4 linked regions of the Canis lupus familiaris genome follow. The protein of the gene in region 1 purifies or fractionates together with the protein of each later gene. This does not show direct contact. Links are inferred from orthologs where the notes say so. Each region holds a gene or a part of one and is shown in the gene's direction. Other genes may lie near its edges.

Region 1 (4,281 bases):
CGGGGCGGCAAAGCCGTCTAAATCACACCCTTTGGGCTCAATCTCTCAGGAGTGACGCCTTCTCTTGCTTCTGGGGGTGGGGGTGGGGGGGCGGGCAGCGGCTCAGACGGGCCTCGCAAGGCCCCTCTCTGCTCCGTCGAGGGTGAGAAGCAAAGCTGGAGGGACTCGGAGGGGGACGCTAGGCCCAGAAGGCGGGGGTGAGGACGTGATGCTCGGAACTGAGACCCTCCCGTGTCTCTCATCCTCTTCCCTCCTCCTCTTCTCCAGGGTTCCTCTTCTAGGAAGTCACACCTGGAGCAACCTGGCCTGCGGGGTGTACGGGGTGGAGACAGGGAGGAAAGGTGAAGGGGTGAGGCCCGAGGGGAGAGATGTCTAGGTGCTGGCGAGGAGGCTCCTGGAAGGCGGGCGTGGGGGTACAGAGGTCGTTTTTCCCTGGCGGGGCCCAAGGAGAAACTCGAGTAGCTGCTGACGTCTCGCCGCCACCTGGGGATCTGTGTTCTCTCTCAGGGTCTGGAGAAGGATGGAGCAGAGGGTGGGGTGAGCACAGGGTGGATGGACAATGTAGGAGAGAGCGTGTTAGGGGAGAGGCGGGTGCCCAGGACACGGGCAGTGTGCGGGAGGACGCAGTACCAGGATGGAGGGGCCCGCGGGAGGCAGAGGCGGTGCCCAGGAAGGGGCAGTGTGAGAGGAGCGGCACCCAAGAGGAGGGGGGGCTCGTATCCGTGGGAGCGGACGGTGCCAGCCTGAAGGGGCACGTAGATCAGCGTCCAAGGGAGAAGGCGGGGGGGGGGGGGCAGGTAGTACCAAGCTGCAGGGGCAGCGCTGTGTGATGGGGTTAAACGCCAGCCGTCAGCCGGGCTGAAGAGGCGGAGTGGAAGAGAGTGGGGCCCCGGGGAAGAGGGCAGTGGTAGGGGGGTGCTGTACCAGGGGAAGGGACGAGCGCAGGCTTTCCTCTTCCCCATAGTGACATCATGGCAAATTCCCAAACGGGACGGAGCCGGCTCGGGTGACATCCAGCAGGGCCAAGCCGGTCCAGCCCGGTCCAGCCCGGTCCAGCCCGGGCCCGGCTAGGAAGCCTCGGTGCCAGCTGTGGGGACTGGGCTCTGCGCCCCGCAGGGTCAGCGCGCTGGGGGCGGAGTTCCGCCCCGTCCGCCCTCCGCGTGGACTGTGCCCTCGGCGGGCACGCAGACCAGCAGGGGAAGGTTTGCGCCGGGCTTCTCCGGGCCAAGGATCAAGGTCCCGGGCTGGGGTAGGCCCGCCCGCATTCCAGGCGTCCCGACCCGGCCTCTCAAGAGGGCGCAGCCGAGCCTCCGCGTACAGCGAGACGCCGCGCCGCCTCGGCTGGAGGTGGAACTAACCGGGTCCCCGCCCCGGGGCGGAGCCACCCGGCCCCGAGTCCCGCCCCCCACTCCCGAGGCCTCTCGGAAGGCGTCGTTCGGGGCGGAAGTCCGCGAGCCCCGAGGCCCAGGCGGCGGAAGTGGCGGCGGCGCTGCCTGCCCGCGCGCATGCGTGTTTCTAGGGCTCTGCGGCCGCTCTCTGGGCGCGCGCTCTCCTTCTCTCCTTTACTCCACGCGAGGGGGAGCGCGTACCCCTAGGCGTGGTCGCGCTCCCGGCCCCTCTCGTACTCTCGTGGCCACCTCACCATGGCGGGCATCCTGTTTGAGGATATTTTCGATGTGAAAGACATTGACCCGGAGGGCAAGAAGTTTGACCGAGGTAAGGTGGAGGTAGACGTAGGGGCGGCCGAGTCAGGGGGTAACCTCCTCGGGGACACGCCTGTGGGCCCCTGGTCCACCCACGCCGCGTGGCCCGCCCCTGCCGGCAGTTCCTGACTCAGGAATCCCCATCAGGAGACCTTGGATCGATGGGAACTCGGCGTCTCCCGAACTCCGCCTGGCTCCACACAGGCTGGCCCGGTGCCTGGGTGGCCCGTTCTCATGGTGCTGGTGCACCCCCGTGCATCTTCCAGTCGCTCCCCACTCTGCTGGGCGCTGTAGCGTGCACCTTACACACACTTCGTCCTGCCCAGTTCTCTCAGGAGCCTCCATGAAGTAGTTGGTGTCTTACCCATTTTGCCCCGAGAAGTTAAGTAAGCTACCCAAGGCTGCACAGTGACTAGTCCGACTTCAGAGCCTGTATTCTTGTATTGTCCTGAGAATCTCTAGCCCTTTGTGACATCCGCTCTGAATTAGGATTGCTGCTTGCCATACAGCTCTTTATTCTGCCGTTGATCAGACTGGGCCTCCTTGGGGGTCTCTTCTTTTGTCCAGAGACTGAGATGTTCTTCAAGACAAACACCAGGTCTTAACAGTCCTGATAGTCCACTCAGCACAGCAGCTGGCACAGAAAGACAAAACTTTTTTTTTTTTTTTTTTAAGATTTATTTATTTGATAGAGAAAGCAGAGTGAGAGCGTATGAGTGAGGAGGAGGGGCAGGGAGAGAAAGAGAGACAAGCAGACTCCCTGCTTGAACAAGGAGCCGGATGCGGGGCTCCATCCCAGGACCCCGGATCACGACCTGGACTGAAGGCAGATAAACAACTGGGCCACCCAGGCGCCCTGAGACAAAACCTTTGGGGGGATCCCTGGGTGGCTCAGCGGTTGAGCACCTGCCTTTGGCCCAGGGCGTGATCCTGGAGTCCCGAGTCGGGCTCCCTGCAGGGAGCCTGCTTCTCCCTCTGCCTTTGTCTCTGTCTCTCTCTCTGTGTCTCTCATGAATAAATAAATAAAATCTTTATAAAAAAAAAAAAAAGACAAAACCTTTGGATGAATGAATAACTTGTCTAAAGTCAGGTTGTTTGTTAATCACCTAGGCAGGCCTAGAACCTGGATATTATTTATTGCCAGAGGGACCTTTGGTTGTTTTCTGGGATTCTGTCCACTTGCCATAGTTTTCACTCCTTTCCTTCTGGCATATCTGGTTCTCATTGAGTCTGCACTTCTTTGAGAGCAGACGTGAGGCTAGTGGATGCAGATGGGGTTCGAATGAGTGCTCAATTGCATGTAATCCCCCAAAGTGGGGTCTGCAGGGTCTGCAGAGCCTGGCAATTACCTATGCCACTCTTTCTCTACCTCCCTCCAGTGTCTCGGCTACATTGTGAGAGTGAATCTTTCAAAATGGACCTGATCTTAGATGTAAACATTCAGATTTACCCTGTAGACTTGGGTAAGTATTGAACACAGACAATAGCAGAAGGCTTTTTGACATTTCAGCTGTTCTTTAGCCTCTGGTATTGCCATGATTTTCAGGTGACAAGTTCCGGTTGGTCATAGCCAGTACATTATATGAAGATGGTACCCTGGATGACGGTGAATACAACCCCACAGATGATAGGCCTTCCAGGTGAGGAAGTGAAGTACTTCCCTCTCAGGAAAGGAGTACTTGAAATACGCTTGAGGACTAAGTAGATAAGTGGTATAGGAAAAAACCCTTATTTAATTTGTGGAATAAATGATTATCAGTAGTATCTGAGCAACCTTAAGGAAATTGCTGCACTTAAGAATTCAATGGGGATCCCCAGGTGGCTCAGCGGTTTAAGCGCCTGCCTTCGGCCCAGGGCATGATCCTGGAGTCCCTTCGGCCCAGGGCATGATCCTGGAGTCCCGGGATTGAGTCCCGTGTCGGGCTCCCTGCATGGAGCCTGCTTCTCCCTCCGCTTCTCCCTCTGCCTGTGTCTCTGCCTCTTTTTCTCTCTCTCTTTCTCTCTCTCTCTGTGTCTCTCATAAATAAATAAATAAATAAATAAATAAATAAATAAATAAATAAAATCTTAAAAAAAAAAAAAAAGAATTCAAACAACCAGGTAGCCTGGATGACTCATGGCTCAGTGGTTTAGCGCTGCCTTCAGCCCAGGGCTTGGTCCTGGGGACCTGGGATCGAGTCCTGGGTTGGGCTCCCTGCATGGGGCCTGCTTCTCCCTCTGCCTGTGTCTCTGCCTCTCTCTCTCATGAATAAATAAATAAAATCTTAAAAAAAAAAAATTCTAACAACCAGGTGTTTTTCCAGGGCAGCAATTACATGCTTGTGGGTTGTACCTTATCGATGGCTAAGGAGATGACCATCAAGTGACCCAGGCTATGTGAGCCTTGCGTCTTGGGAGAGAGTTTGGTGTGATGGAAGGGCTTTGGAGCTCTACTGAGTTCAAATCTCAGCCCTATCAGTTCTTTGTTGAATGGCTTTAACCTCTTGCAGCCTCAGTTTCCCCATCAGTAAAGTGCAGATGATCACACCTTGCTCATATGGTTGCTGGGAGGACTAAATGGCATTGTGTTTGGAAAACG
Region 2 (3,500 bases), on another chromosome or scaffold:
CAGGCATGAGAACATTAATCTCATTGTTCGTCGCCATCAAAGCTCTTGGGTACCATGTACACTGTCAACAAGCGGTAGTATTTTGAAAGGAATCTTTTTTCCTAAACGCGGTATGTCTCAAGAGTAGGCTTAAAATAGTCTGTAAACCATGTGGCAAATTGATGTGCTGTCATGAGGCTTTGTTGTTCCATTTCTAGAGCTCATGCAGTCAATTTGGCATAATTCTTATGGGGCCCTAGGATTTTCCAAATGGTAAATGAGCATCGGCTTCAACTTAGTCACCAGCTGCATGAGCCCCCAATAAGAGTCAGCTTGTCCTTTGAAGCTTTGAAGCCAGACATTGACTTCTCCTCTCTAGCTATGAAAGGCCAGCATCTTTTCCCAATAGAAAGCTGTTTGGTCTACATTGAAAATCTGTTGTTGGATGTAGCCACCTTTATCAATTATCTCAGCTTCTTCTTCTGGATACCTTGCTGTGGCTTCTACATCAGCACTTTCTGCTTCACCTTGCACTTTTAGGTTACGAAGTTGGCTTTTCCTTAAACCTCACGAACCAACCTCCACTGGCTTCAGACTTTGCTTCTGCAGCTTCCTCACCTCTTCCAGTTTTCAGTGAATTGAAGAGAGGTAGAGCCTTGTTCTAGACTAGGCTTTGGCTTAAAGGAATGTTATGCTGTTTGATCTTATATCCAGACTACTCAAACTTGGTCCACATCAGCAGTAAGGCAATTTTGCTTTCTTCTGCTTGTTCACTGGAATAGCATTTTAATTTCCCTCAAGAACTTTCTTTGCCTTCACAGCTTGGCTAACTGTTTGGAACAAGAGGCCTTTCTTGGTTTGGGGCTTGGGGCAGGCCTTCCTCTCACTAAGTGTACTCATTTATAGCCTTTTAAAATTATTATTAAAAGGTTTTATTTATTTGAGAGAGACGGGTAGCGAGAGAGAGCACAAGTGGGGAGGAGAGGGAGAAGCAGACTCCCTGCAGAGCAGGGAGCCCGACTTGGGGCTCAATCCCAGTATCATGACCTGAGCCAAAGGCAGACGCTTAACAGACTGAGCCACCCAGATGCCCCCCATTTCTAGCTTTTGATTTAAAGTGAGAGATGTGTGACTCTTCCTCACTTGAACACTTCGAGGCCATTTTGTAGGGTTATGGGTTGGCCTAATTTCAATATTGTTGTGTCTCAGGGAATAGGGAGACCCAAGGAGAGGAGACAGAGGAATGGCTGGGCAGCGGAGCAGTCAGAACACACACAGTATGAATCAAGTTTGCCATCTTGTATGGGTGCAGTTTGTGGCACCCCAAAACAATCACCAATAGTAACATCAAGAATCACTGATCACACAGATCACTGTAACAAATATAACAATGGAAAAATCTGAAATATGATCAGAATTACTAAAATGTGATACAGAGACACAAAGTGAGCAAATGCCGTTGGAAAAATGCCACCAACACTTGCTCAATGCAGTGTTGCTACAGACCTTCATTTGGTAAAAAACACAGAATCTGTGAAGTGTATTAAAGCAAGAACAACAAAAGGAAGTATGCCTTTATTGTTCTTTTAAACTTGGTGTTTTATTTGATAAATCTTCAGCACCCTGCCCCCCGCCCCCATGAGATGGTAGAGTAGAACACCTCTGCCATATCAAGAGCAGATCTTATTTCATGAATGTCATGGGTTTCAGCCATGTGACAACCACTTGGGCAGGCAGGCATGTCCATGGACGGGCTCATGAGCACTGGGTACCTTGTTGGCTCTGGGAGCAGGTAGGAGGAGGAGGCTGCATGGGGTGAGAACTCTGGTGTTGCTTGACTCCACTGGCCCTTGGGGAGAGAGGCCAGAATGGGCTAGAACAGGGAGAAGGGCAGAGGTTTGACAAGCGGCTCTTGTTTTGCAGATCCGGAACATGGTGGCGGTGCTGGAAGTCATCTCCAGCCTGGAGAAATACCCCATTACCAAAGAGGCACTGGAGGTGAGTGTCCCCAGGACCCAATATTGGGTGGGCAGAGCTTGGCCTCCCCCAGCCCAAGTCCTTCGTGGCTTCTTGGAGCCTTGTGCTCTCACTGGCCAGATGAGGACTTAGTAGTGCTGAGTGAGGGGGGTGCATACTCTCCTGGCCTTTGCTGTGCCCAGAAGCAGCATTTTCCTATAGGTACTGCAGGAATCGGGTGGCTTTAGTCCCAGGCCTGGGAGGCATGCCTGAGGGGTTAAGCTCCAGTGAGTGATGCTGGCTCAGGCCCTCCGTTTGCTGTTGCCTTTGCCATAGCATTTCTCCCAAAGAGCTTCCTTGGCATAGTGTCATTTCACTGGCTTTGATGGTCCACAGCCTCCAGGTCAGAAGCCTGTGGGATGGTGCTTTTTTTTTTTTTTTTTTTTTTAAGATTTTATTTATTTATTCATGAGAGACACAGAGAGAGAGAGAGAGAGAGAGAAAGAGAGAGGGGCAAGCAGAGGAAGAAGCAGGCTCCATGCAGGAAACCTGATGCGGGACTCAAGATCATGCCCTGAGCTGAAGGCAGGCGCCAAACTGCTGAGCCACCCAGGGATCCCGGGATGGTACTTTTGAAGATGCCTCCTGTGGCCCTGAGACCCTAAAGTTTAAGGACTAGATTCTTGAAGTTAGATGTCACAAAGGACACCAAATCCTTATGGGTTTTGTATCCAGGAACTCTGTGGTTTAAGGGTCAGTGGGATTAATCAAAGACTAGGGGCCCTTCCCACCGTTTCTGGCTCAGCTCCCTTTTCATGGGGGACTTCTTTCCCAAAAGCATGTCATCGTCTCTCTGGTTGTAGGAGACTCGACTTGGGAAGCTCATCAACGACGTCCGCAAGAAAACCAAGAACGAGGAGCTCGCCAAGCGGGCCAAAAAGCTGCTGCGGAGCTGGCAGAAGCTCATCGAGCCCGTGCACCAGAATGAGGCGGCGCTGCGAGGGCTGGGGGGAGGCACCGGCTCTGCCAACGGGGGTGCTCATAACTGCAGGCCGGAGGCGGGGGCGGCCGGCACGCCTAAGAGCATCCATGACCTGAAGAACCGCAATGACATCCAGAGGCTGCCTGGGCAGCGGCTGGACAGGCTGGGCAGCCGCAAGCGCCGCGGAGATCAGCGTGACCTCGGCCACCCTGGGCCACCTCCTAAGGTCTCCAAAGCCAGTCATGACTCCCTGGTACCCAATTCGTCCCCTCTCCCCACCAACGGGATCGGTGGGAGCCCCGAGGGCTTCCCTGGTACCCTGGACGGCAGTGGGCACTCGGGCCCTGAGGGCGGCCGCCTGGAGCACGGCGAGAGCGACAAGCACAGCGGCAAGATTCCGGTCAATGCCGTGCGGCCGCATACCAGCTCCCCGGGCCTAGGCAAGCCACCCGGCCCCTGCTTGCAGACAAAGGCTGCAGTGCTGCAGCAGCTGGACCGGGTGGATGAGACTCCAGGCCCTCCCCATCCCAAGGGGCCGCCTCGCTGCTCTTTCAGTCCCCGGAACTCACGGCACGAGGGCTCC
Region 3 (3,500 bases), on another chromosome or scaffold:
AAAGGGGAGCAGATTGCACTCAATGTGGACGGCGCCTGCGCGGACGACAGCAGCACTTACTCCTCGTGAGTTCCCTGGGTCCAGCATCCAAGCTCTGACGGGCCCCGATCCGAGCCTTCCAAAGGCCTGTAAGACACCAAGGCCCTTGTCCCTCATTGCCAGGCTCCCTCCCAGAGTCCCAATTTCACATGCTTGGGTCTGGTGCAACGCTGCCCCGTGGCAAATGTCTCCTTTGATGGGGGTGGGGGCTTGACCTACTACTTGTCCCTGGGCCACAAACCAGGTCTTGAGTTTTCTCTTCCCCAGCTTCCCTCCTGAGGCTCGCACATGCTGAGGTGGGGCCTTGCGCCCTGTCCCTGGGTGTTGAACTTTGGAAGGTGTCTGGGGTAGAGAGGGCTATCCCTGCTGTGCTTTGAGATTGGAGCTTCCTTCCCCTTGACTTCTGTTCTCCCCATGCTCCCAGGAAGCTGATGGACAAGCAGACGTTCTGTTCCTCCCAGAGCACTAGTAACACAGCCCGTTACGCTGCTGCGCTCTACCGGCAAGGTACCCACACTGGGCAGCCAGGCTGCTGTGGCTCCTGGAGGCTGCTTGGAGGGAAGCAGGATGGGGGCTGGGATGGGGTGGGCTATCTCTAGCCTGGTACTCAGCTTGCTATTCTCCGAATACCGGACACCCATAGGGGCCAGGCTGGTTGTGGAAGTGACATTGTCAGGGCGCTGGAATAGGCCACTTCTGAGGATTTCTGGCTTTGGATCTTGACCTGATAGAGATGCTGCTTCCAAGGTCATTGTCCTCCTGGGACATAGGCACAGCCTAACTCCCCCTACTCACTTGATCGTGCACTCTCTCTCCCTCTTCCTCCTTCTCAAACCCCCCCGCCCCCCAAAAAACAAAACAAGGTGCTTGTGCATGAGCAGTTTTACTCTTAGCATCTACCCTAGAGAATTAAAATGTCTGTCCACACAAAAACTTGTACATGGATGTATCATAGAAGCATAATAGTGAAACAGTTCTGTCAGCTGATGCCTGGATTGCACAGTGCCATGCCATTAAAAGTTACTTGGCCACGTGAAGGAATGAAGTACTCCTACATCCTCTAGCATGCATGAACCTTGAAAATGTGATGCTCAGTGAGAAAAGCCACTCACAGAAGGCCACATATTCTGAGTCCATTTATATGAAGTGTCCTAAAGAGGCAAGTTTGTAGAGAAAGCAGGTCGTAGTTGCCTGTGGCTGGGAGGAATATGGAATGGGGAATGACCGAGGATGGGTTCAGGGTTTCTATCTAGGGAGACAAAAATGTTCTTTGGGGGGTGGAGGGAGTGAGAATCCCAAGCAGGCTCCATGCCCAGTGCAGAGCCCAGCGCAGGGCCTCAATCTCAGGAGCCTGAGATCATGACCTGAGCCGAAATCAAGAGCGGAACACAGCCGAGCCACCCCAGTGCCCCTGAAATGTTCTTAAATTGACTATAGTGCTGGTTGTACAACTCCAGGAACATATTAAAATACATTGACTAGTTTGCTTTAAATGGGTGAGTTTTGCATGGCACGTGAATTATATCTCCGTAAAAGCATTGAAAGTAAGTGTAGAGTTCATAAAACAATAAGTAAAGCTAATCTGAACACTTAGGAAACAAACTAGAATAGACTCAAAAGTATTATCAGATAAATATCTTTCTTTTTTGCGTCTGTGTCTCACATCTTGCAACTAGGGCCATTCATTTTTCTTAACTATTTTTTATTGTTAAATATACTTTTTAAAAAAGATTTCTTTATTTTAGAGAGTGCACACTCCCAGGAGGGTGGGTAAGGGTAGGCAGAGGAAGAGGAGAATCTTAGACTCTGTGCTGAGCACAGAGCCTGACACGGGGCTTGACCTCACAACCTTGAGATCACGACCTGAACTGAAACCCAGTCAGACACCTACCTGACTGCGCCACCCAGGCACCCCTCATTTTAACCATTTTTAAGTGTATATATAGTTCAGTGACATTGAGGGCATTCAAGTTGGTGTACCACCGTCCCCACCATCCATCTGCAGGACTTTTCCCATCTTCCCAACGTGATTGTATTTTTCTGTAGCCAAATTGCCTGTCCTGTCTTGTTCTTTAGGATTCTTTCTCCCATCCTAGAATTTTTTTTCTAGTATTTAAAGTTTAATTTTATACAAAACTGTTTAACATTTCTGGAAATTATTATTATATGGAGAGTGAGAAGATGATTTTTTTTTAAATTTTTTTACTTCCGTTTTAATGAACAAAGTGTTATATTCGTGTCTGTCGTACAATGGAGTGATTCAGTGATTCTGTACCTGGCTCGGGGCTCATTGTGATACATGTGCTCTGACTCCCCATCGCCTATTTTACCCATCCCCCACCCCCCTCCCCTCTGGTGACCATCAGTTTGTTCTCTGTAGTTAAGAGTCTGTGGGTTCTGTGATTGTTTTGTTTTGTTAAGTAGGCTCCACACCCACCCAATGTGGGGCTTAAACTCCTAACCTAGAGGTGGAGAGTCACATGTTCTATAGACTGAGCCAGCCAGGAGCCCCAAGTCTGGTTTTTTGTGTGTGTGCTTTTTTTCCCCCATTCTTTTGTTTCTTAAATTCCACATATGAGTGAAATCATTTGGTATTTGTCTGACAAGGGCCTGGTAGGAAGAGCAGGCTGTGTTTGGAAGAGTTGCCCTGTGTGTGCCAGAGTGAGCTACTGGCAGGGAGGTGGTGGTGACCGGGGTTGGGAAGGCCTTAAAGGCTTAAAGAAGCAGCTTTGAGCAGAATGCTCTAGGTATATGCCATTGTGTGCTTACTGCATCCTCAGGGCCAGGTGGGATTGGGAATGGCCACATTCCCAGTGGTCCCAAGGCTCTGGGACTGGGGGCTAGAGCAGAGGTGAGGTTGTTTTGGCAGCAGGCCAAGGCCAGGATGGGATGGGTGGGCTAGCCCTAGTTCCTAGAGTCAGGTCCAAGCCCTTCTTCCTCTGCCAGGTGAGCTTCACCTGACGCCTTTACATGGCATCCTGCAGCTTCGGCCGAGCTTCTCCTACCTGGATAAGGCAGACGCCAAGCACCGAGAGAGGGAGGCTGCCAATGAGGGTGAGCTCTGGGGCCCTTCTGTCTGTCTGCTTCTTGGCGGGATGGGTTGGTCATGGAAAAAATCACTGCAGAGGGGGATGCCTGGGTGGCTCAGCTGTTGAGCATTTCCTTTGGCTCAGGGTGTGATCCCAGAGTCCAGGAATCAAGTCCCTCATTGGGGTCCCTGCATGGAGCCCGCTTCTCCCTCTGCCTGTGTCTCTGCCTCTCTCTGTGTGTCTCTCATGAATAAGTAAATAAAATCTTTAAAAAAAAAAATTAACTGCAGAGGGATGGATTCCAGGATGCTTAGCAGCATCCCTGGGCTCTACCCACTGGATACCAGGAGCACTCACATCCATAGTTTTGGCAACCAAAAATGATTTCCTGCATTTCCAAGTGTCCCCTGGTGGACAAACTTGCCCCCAACT
Region 4 (3,500 bases), on another chromosome or scaffold:
CTGAATTGTTCAACATGCAGCCACTGTTTGCAGGTAGGACCCAGTCACGAAGGCTTGCAAGAACACTGCATGTTTTAGGTTTGCTGGATGAGTTTGGTTTTGATTTGTAAAACACATTTGTTATTTTTAAAAGGGTGCCTTCCTGCAAATATTTATTGATAACTTACTTTGCTCCAGGCACAAGTTAGTGGCTAGGGATGTAGCAGAACAGATACAGGTCCTGTCGCTGCTATGTTTACAGATTTGAGATCAGAAAATAATCAGTTAAAGCCATTTGAGCAGGGTTGCCTGGGTGGATCAGTTAAGCGTCTGCCTTTGGCTCAGGTCATGATCTCAGGGTCCTGCTCAGCAGGGAGTCTGCTTCTCCCTCTTTCTCTGTGCTTGTGGTCTCTCACTCTCAAATCAGTGAATAAAATCTTTAAAAGGTGGGGAGGGAGACTAAAAGGTGGTGAGGGGGACGCCTGGGTGGCTCAGCGTCTGCCTTCTGGGTGGCTCAGGGGCTGCCCTGGAGTAGAGGCTTTAGAGAAGATGGGAGTTACTTAGAGGTTAGACAGCCCTTTTCATGTTGATGAGAAGTCTCTCTATACTTTCTAATTAGGAGGAGATCCATTTTTTCCCCTAATTTAGTGAGAGAGCTTGTACTGCTTCTCTTCTTTGGCATTTTATGATGCTCAGGGCCAGAGTGTGGGATCTTCCAGAATGATAGGTCAGAGGGTCAGACTCAAGGGGCTCCTGTTCTCTAAATCTTAAATACTGAGAACCACAGTGAGGGAGGGTATAGTTGAGGAAGGATTGTTAGGGTCACAGTAGATCTGCCTGATGCCTTCCAAGGCAGTAGTTCTGGCTTTATTCCTGCAGAGCAGTGGTGCCAGTCCTTTCAAGAATCTGAAGGACCAGGGGATCCCTGGGTGGCTCAGCGGTTTAGAGCCTGCCTTTGGCCCAGGGCGCGATCCTGGAGTCCCGGGATCGAGTCCCATGTCGGGCTCCCAGCATGGAGCCTGCTTCTCCCTCTGCCTGTGTCTCTGCCTCTCTCTCTCTCTCTCTATGTCTATCATAAATAAATAAATAAATCTTAAAAAAAAAAGAAAGAATCTGAAGGACTGGACCTACTTTCCAGAAACATACGTAATACGTAAGAATATATATGAAATTTTGCATATAATTGTAAAGGGCTCTGAGTCCCATCTGCGACTCTCCTAGGGGTCCAGAGTCTGTAGGTTAAGGACTCCTTGCTTTGCGAACAAATACATCTACATTTAAATTATCCTCCAGGGCAGCCGGGGTGGCTCAGGGAGTTTAGCTGCTGCCTTCAGCCCAGGGCGTGATCCTGGACCCAGATCGAGTCCCACGGGCTTCCTGCAGGGAACCTGCTTCTCCCTCTGCCTCTGCCTCTGTCTCTGTCTCTGCCTCCCCCTCCCTCTCCCTCTCTCTCTCTGTTTCCCATGAATAAATAAATAAAATCTTTAAAATAAATAAATAATCCTCCAAGTGCTCTTCTGACTTCCAAGGAGGCAAAGGAAATTGTTCTCAAATTTTTGTTTTTACAGGTAAAAAATGTGTAAATACTAGTTTATTCTAGCCAACATATATATACACGTACACACACATGCAGCATTTATTGAGTCCTTAACTATTTGTCAGGCACTGTTCTAAGTACTTTTAATGCACGAGGATTGTCATAATTCATGTGACAACCCTCTGGTGGTTCTATCGATGACGAAACTGGTACAGAGTTTGACAGGGACATAATGTTGATGTGTGTGTGTGTGTGTGTATATATATATATACACACACCTTTATATATAATTATAATGTGTATATATAAAAATATAAATTTCCTTTATCCGTCTTTATCTATCTATATGACCTGGGATTGAAACTCAGACAAGGCCACTCTAGAGCTTATACTCCTACCCTCTAGATTATACTGCCCTTATATGAATACTTTATGGGAGATAAGAGAGCTTCATGTAAGTAACACATACCTTACATTTATGCTTGCTTATCTTTTATAAGGCGGGCAAAACTATTTACTGCAAAGAGCCGAGGACTTGGTTTCTAATCCCATCTCGGCCACTGCCTGGTGAACTGACTTAGGACAAATCATTTCGTTGGGAGGCTTTTTCCTTATTTGTAAAATGAAGAGGTTGGACCAGATGACCCCTTCATTTGACTCCTTAATTTCTTCTCCATATCCTCCAACTGTATACTAAAGCGACAGACTAAATATTCATAGGATCCATCATGTTAAACTCTGGGAAGTCCTACAGTAAAGAAATCTGTCTGTCTTAGATTAACAGTGAATAAATATTAAATGCTATTATAATCTGGGCCTTACAGCTTCCTTTTTTCCTATTTTTGTTTTGTGTCTTGATAGATGAATCACTTGAGAGCGACTTGACACAAGAGAGTCAGGCCAAAACTTTTAGAGAAAAGGTAAGAATGACAGAAGTGAGACATGGGACCTGCCTCACGTTCCTTCTGTGCCTTGTGCTTCTCCATCAGGAAAATGAGCTGACTGAGCACAGGGCTGCTCCCAGCTCATTCTGTCTGTGGTTCTCCAGTCAGCCTGCCTGTGGAGGCTTCTCAGCTTCACAGAGCGCCGTCCTCCCGCCTGGGGCAGCTATACTCAGCTCCATCCCAGTGTTTGGAACTGATTCTCTGGGCTGACATAGGTGTAGTGTAACACTTGTTTTTGGATTGAATGCAAGTTTCAGAAAATTCTGGCTGTAGCCTGGAAGCTTTCACATTAAAACAGAGTAAACTTCAGGATTTTCAGCGTAGGTGGTTCCTATAAAGCTAATCTCACTCCAGGATTGCAAATTGATTGAGTCTTCAGTGCTGCCTGGAGCACTGTATTGAGAAGGTGTGAGGCTGTCTTCAGGCTCAGTGGGAAAGAGTGAGTGATTAGCAACATCTGCTATGGGTGTAAGGCTGGAAAATGGTAAGTTATGTGCCAGATTTACCAATCCTCATTCTGATCCAGGCTTTTCACTGTACAAATGGAGACACTGTTGATTTGTAAAGAGCCCATGACAGTTTCCAAAGCAAGTACTTCAGGGATCCCTGGGTGGCGTAGCGGTTTGGTGCCTGCCTTTGGCCCAGGGCGCGATCCTGGAGATCCGGGATCGAGTCCCACGTCGGGCTCCCGGTGCATGGAGCCTGCTTCTCCCTCTGCCTGTGTCTCTGCCTCTCTCTCTCACTGTGTGCCTATCATAAATAAATAAAAATTAAAAAAAAAAATTAGCCAAAGCAGGTACTTCAGATCTGCTAATACACCAGCCTGTGAGATAGAGAGGTATGATTTAGCCTGATTTATAGGTGAGGTAATCCTGGCCTAGAAAGGCTGAGTTTCCGCATGGTCACACAGCTAGGAGTAGTAGTGCCCAGACTGTCCCTACACAAACCAAATTTGTCTATGCACAGATGGATTCTTGCATTGAAGCCTTTGGAACCACCAAACAGAAGCGGGCTTTGAACTCCAGAAGAATGAACACAGT

What was found. Proteins that work in one complex are often made in the same cells at the same time.
Region 2: the proteins of POLR2H (region 1) and MED26 purify together in Homo sapiens (affinity purification with mass spectrometry; 3 studies listed by BioGRID and IntAct, with this or other methods). This does not show direct contact. The link is inferred for Canis lupus familiaris from reciprocal best matches to the Homo sapiens genes POLR2H and MED26.
Region 3: the proteins of POLR2H (region 1) and POLR3E purify together in Homo sapiens (affinity purification with mass spectrometry; 3 studies listed by BioGRID and IntAct, with this or other methods). This does not show direct contact. The link is inferred for Canis lupus familiaris from reciprocal best matches to the Homo sapiens genes POLR2H and POLR3E.
Region 4: the proteins of POLR2H (region 1) and POLR1E purify together in Homo sapiens (affinity purification with mass spectrometry; 3 studies listed by BioGRID and IntAct, with this or other methods). This does not show direct contact. The link is inferred for Canis lupus familiaris from reciprocal best matches to the Homo sapiens genes POLR2H and POLR1E.

Annotation. Positions count from the first base shown.
Region 1 is NC_049255.1:17,408,529-17,412,809, forward strand, and holds the start of POLR2H (DNA-directed RNA polymerases I, II, and III subunit RPABC3), read left to right. Parts: upstream 1-1,481; 5' UTR 1,482-1,643; coding exon 1,644-1,716; intron 1,717-3,082; coding exon 3,083-3,166; intron 3,167-3,249; coding exon 3,250-3,343; intron 3,344-4,281. UniProt on the Homo sapiens protein: DNA-dependent RNA polymerase catalyzes the transcription of DNA into RNA using the four ribonucleoside triphosphates as substrates.
Region 2 is NC_049241.1:46,379,603-46,383,102, forward strand, and holds part of MED26 (mediator of RNA polymerase II transcription subunit 26), read left to right. Parts: intron 1-1,902; coding exon 1,903-1,977; intron 1,978-2,798; coding exon 2,799-3,500. UniProt on the Homo sapiens protein: Component of the Mediator complex, a coactivator involved in the regulated transcription of nearly all RNA polymerase II-dependent genes.
Region 3 is NC_049227.1:23,577,138-23,580,637, reverse strand, and holds part of POLR3E (DNA-directed RNA polymerase III subunit RPC5), read left to right. Parts: coding exon 1-65; intron 66-463; coding exon 464-546; intron 547-2,985; coding exon 2,986-3,093; intron 3,094-3,500. UniProt on the Homo sapiens protein: DNA-dependent RNA polymerase catalyzes the transcription of DNA into RNA using the four ribonucleoside triphosphates as substrates.
Region 4 is NC_049232.1:54,129,950-54,133,449, forward strand, and holds part of POLR1E (DNA-directed RNA polymerase I subunit RPA49), read left to right. Parts: coding exon 1-33; intron 34-2,377; coding exon 2,378-2,436; intron 2,437-3,426; coding exon 3,427-3,500. UniProt on the Homo sapiens protein: Component of RNA polymerase I (Pol I), a DNA-dependent RNA polymerase which synthesizes ribosomal RNA precursors using the four ribonucleoside triphosphates as substrates.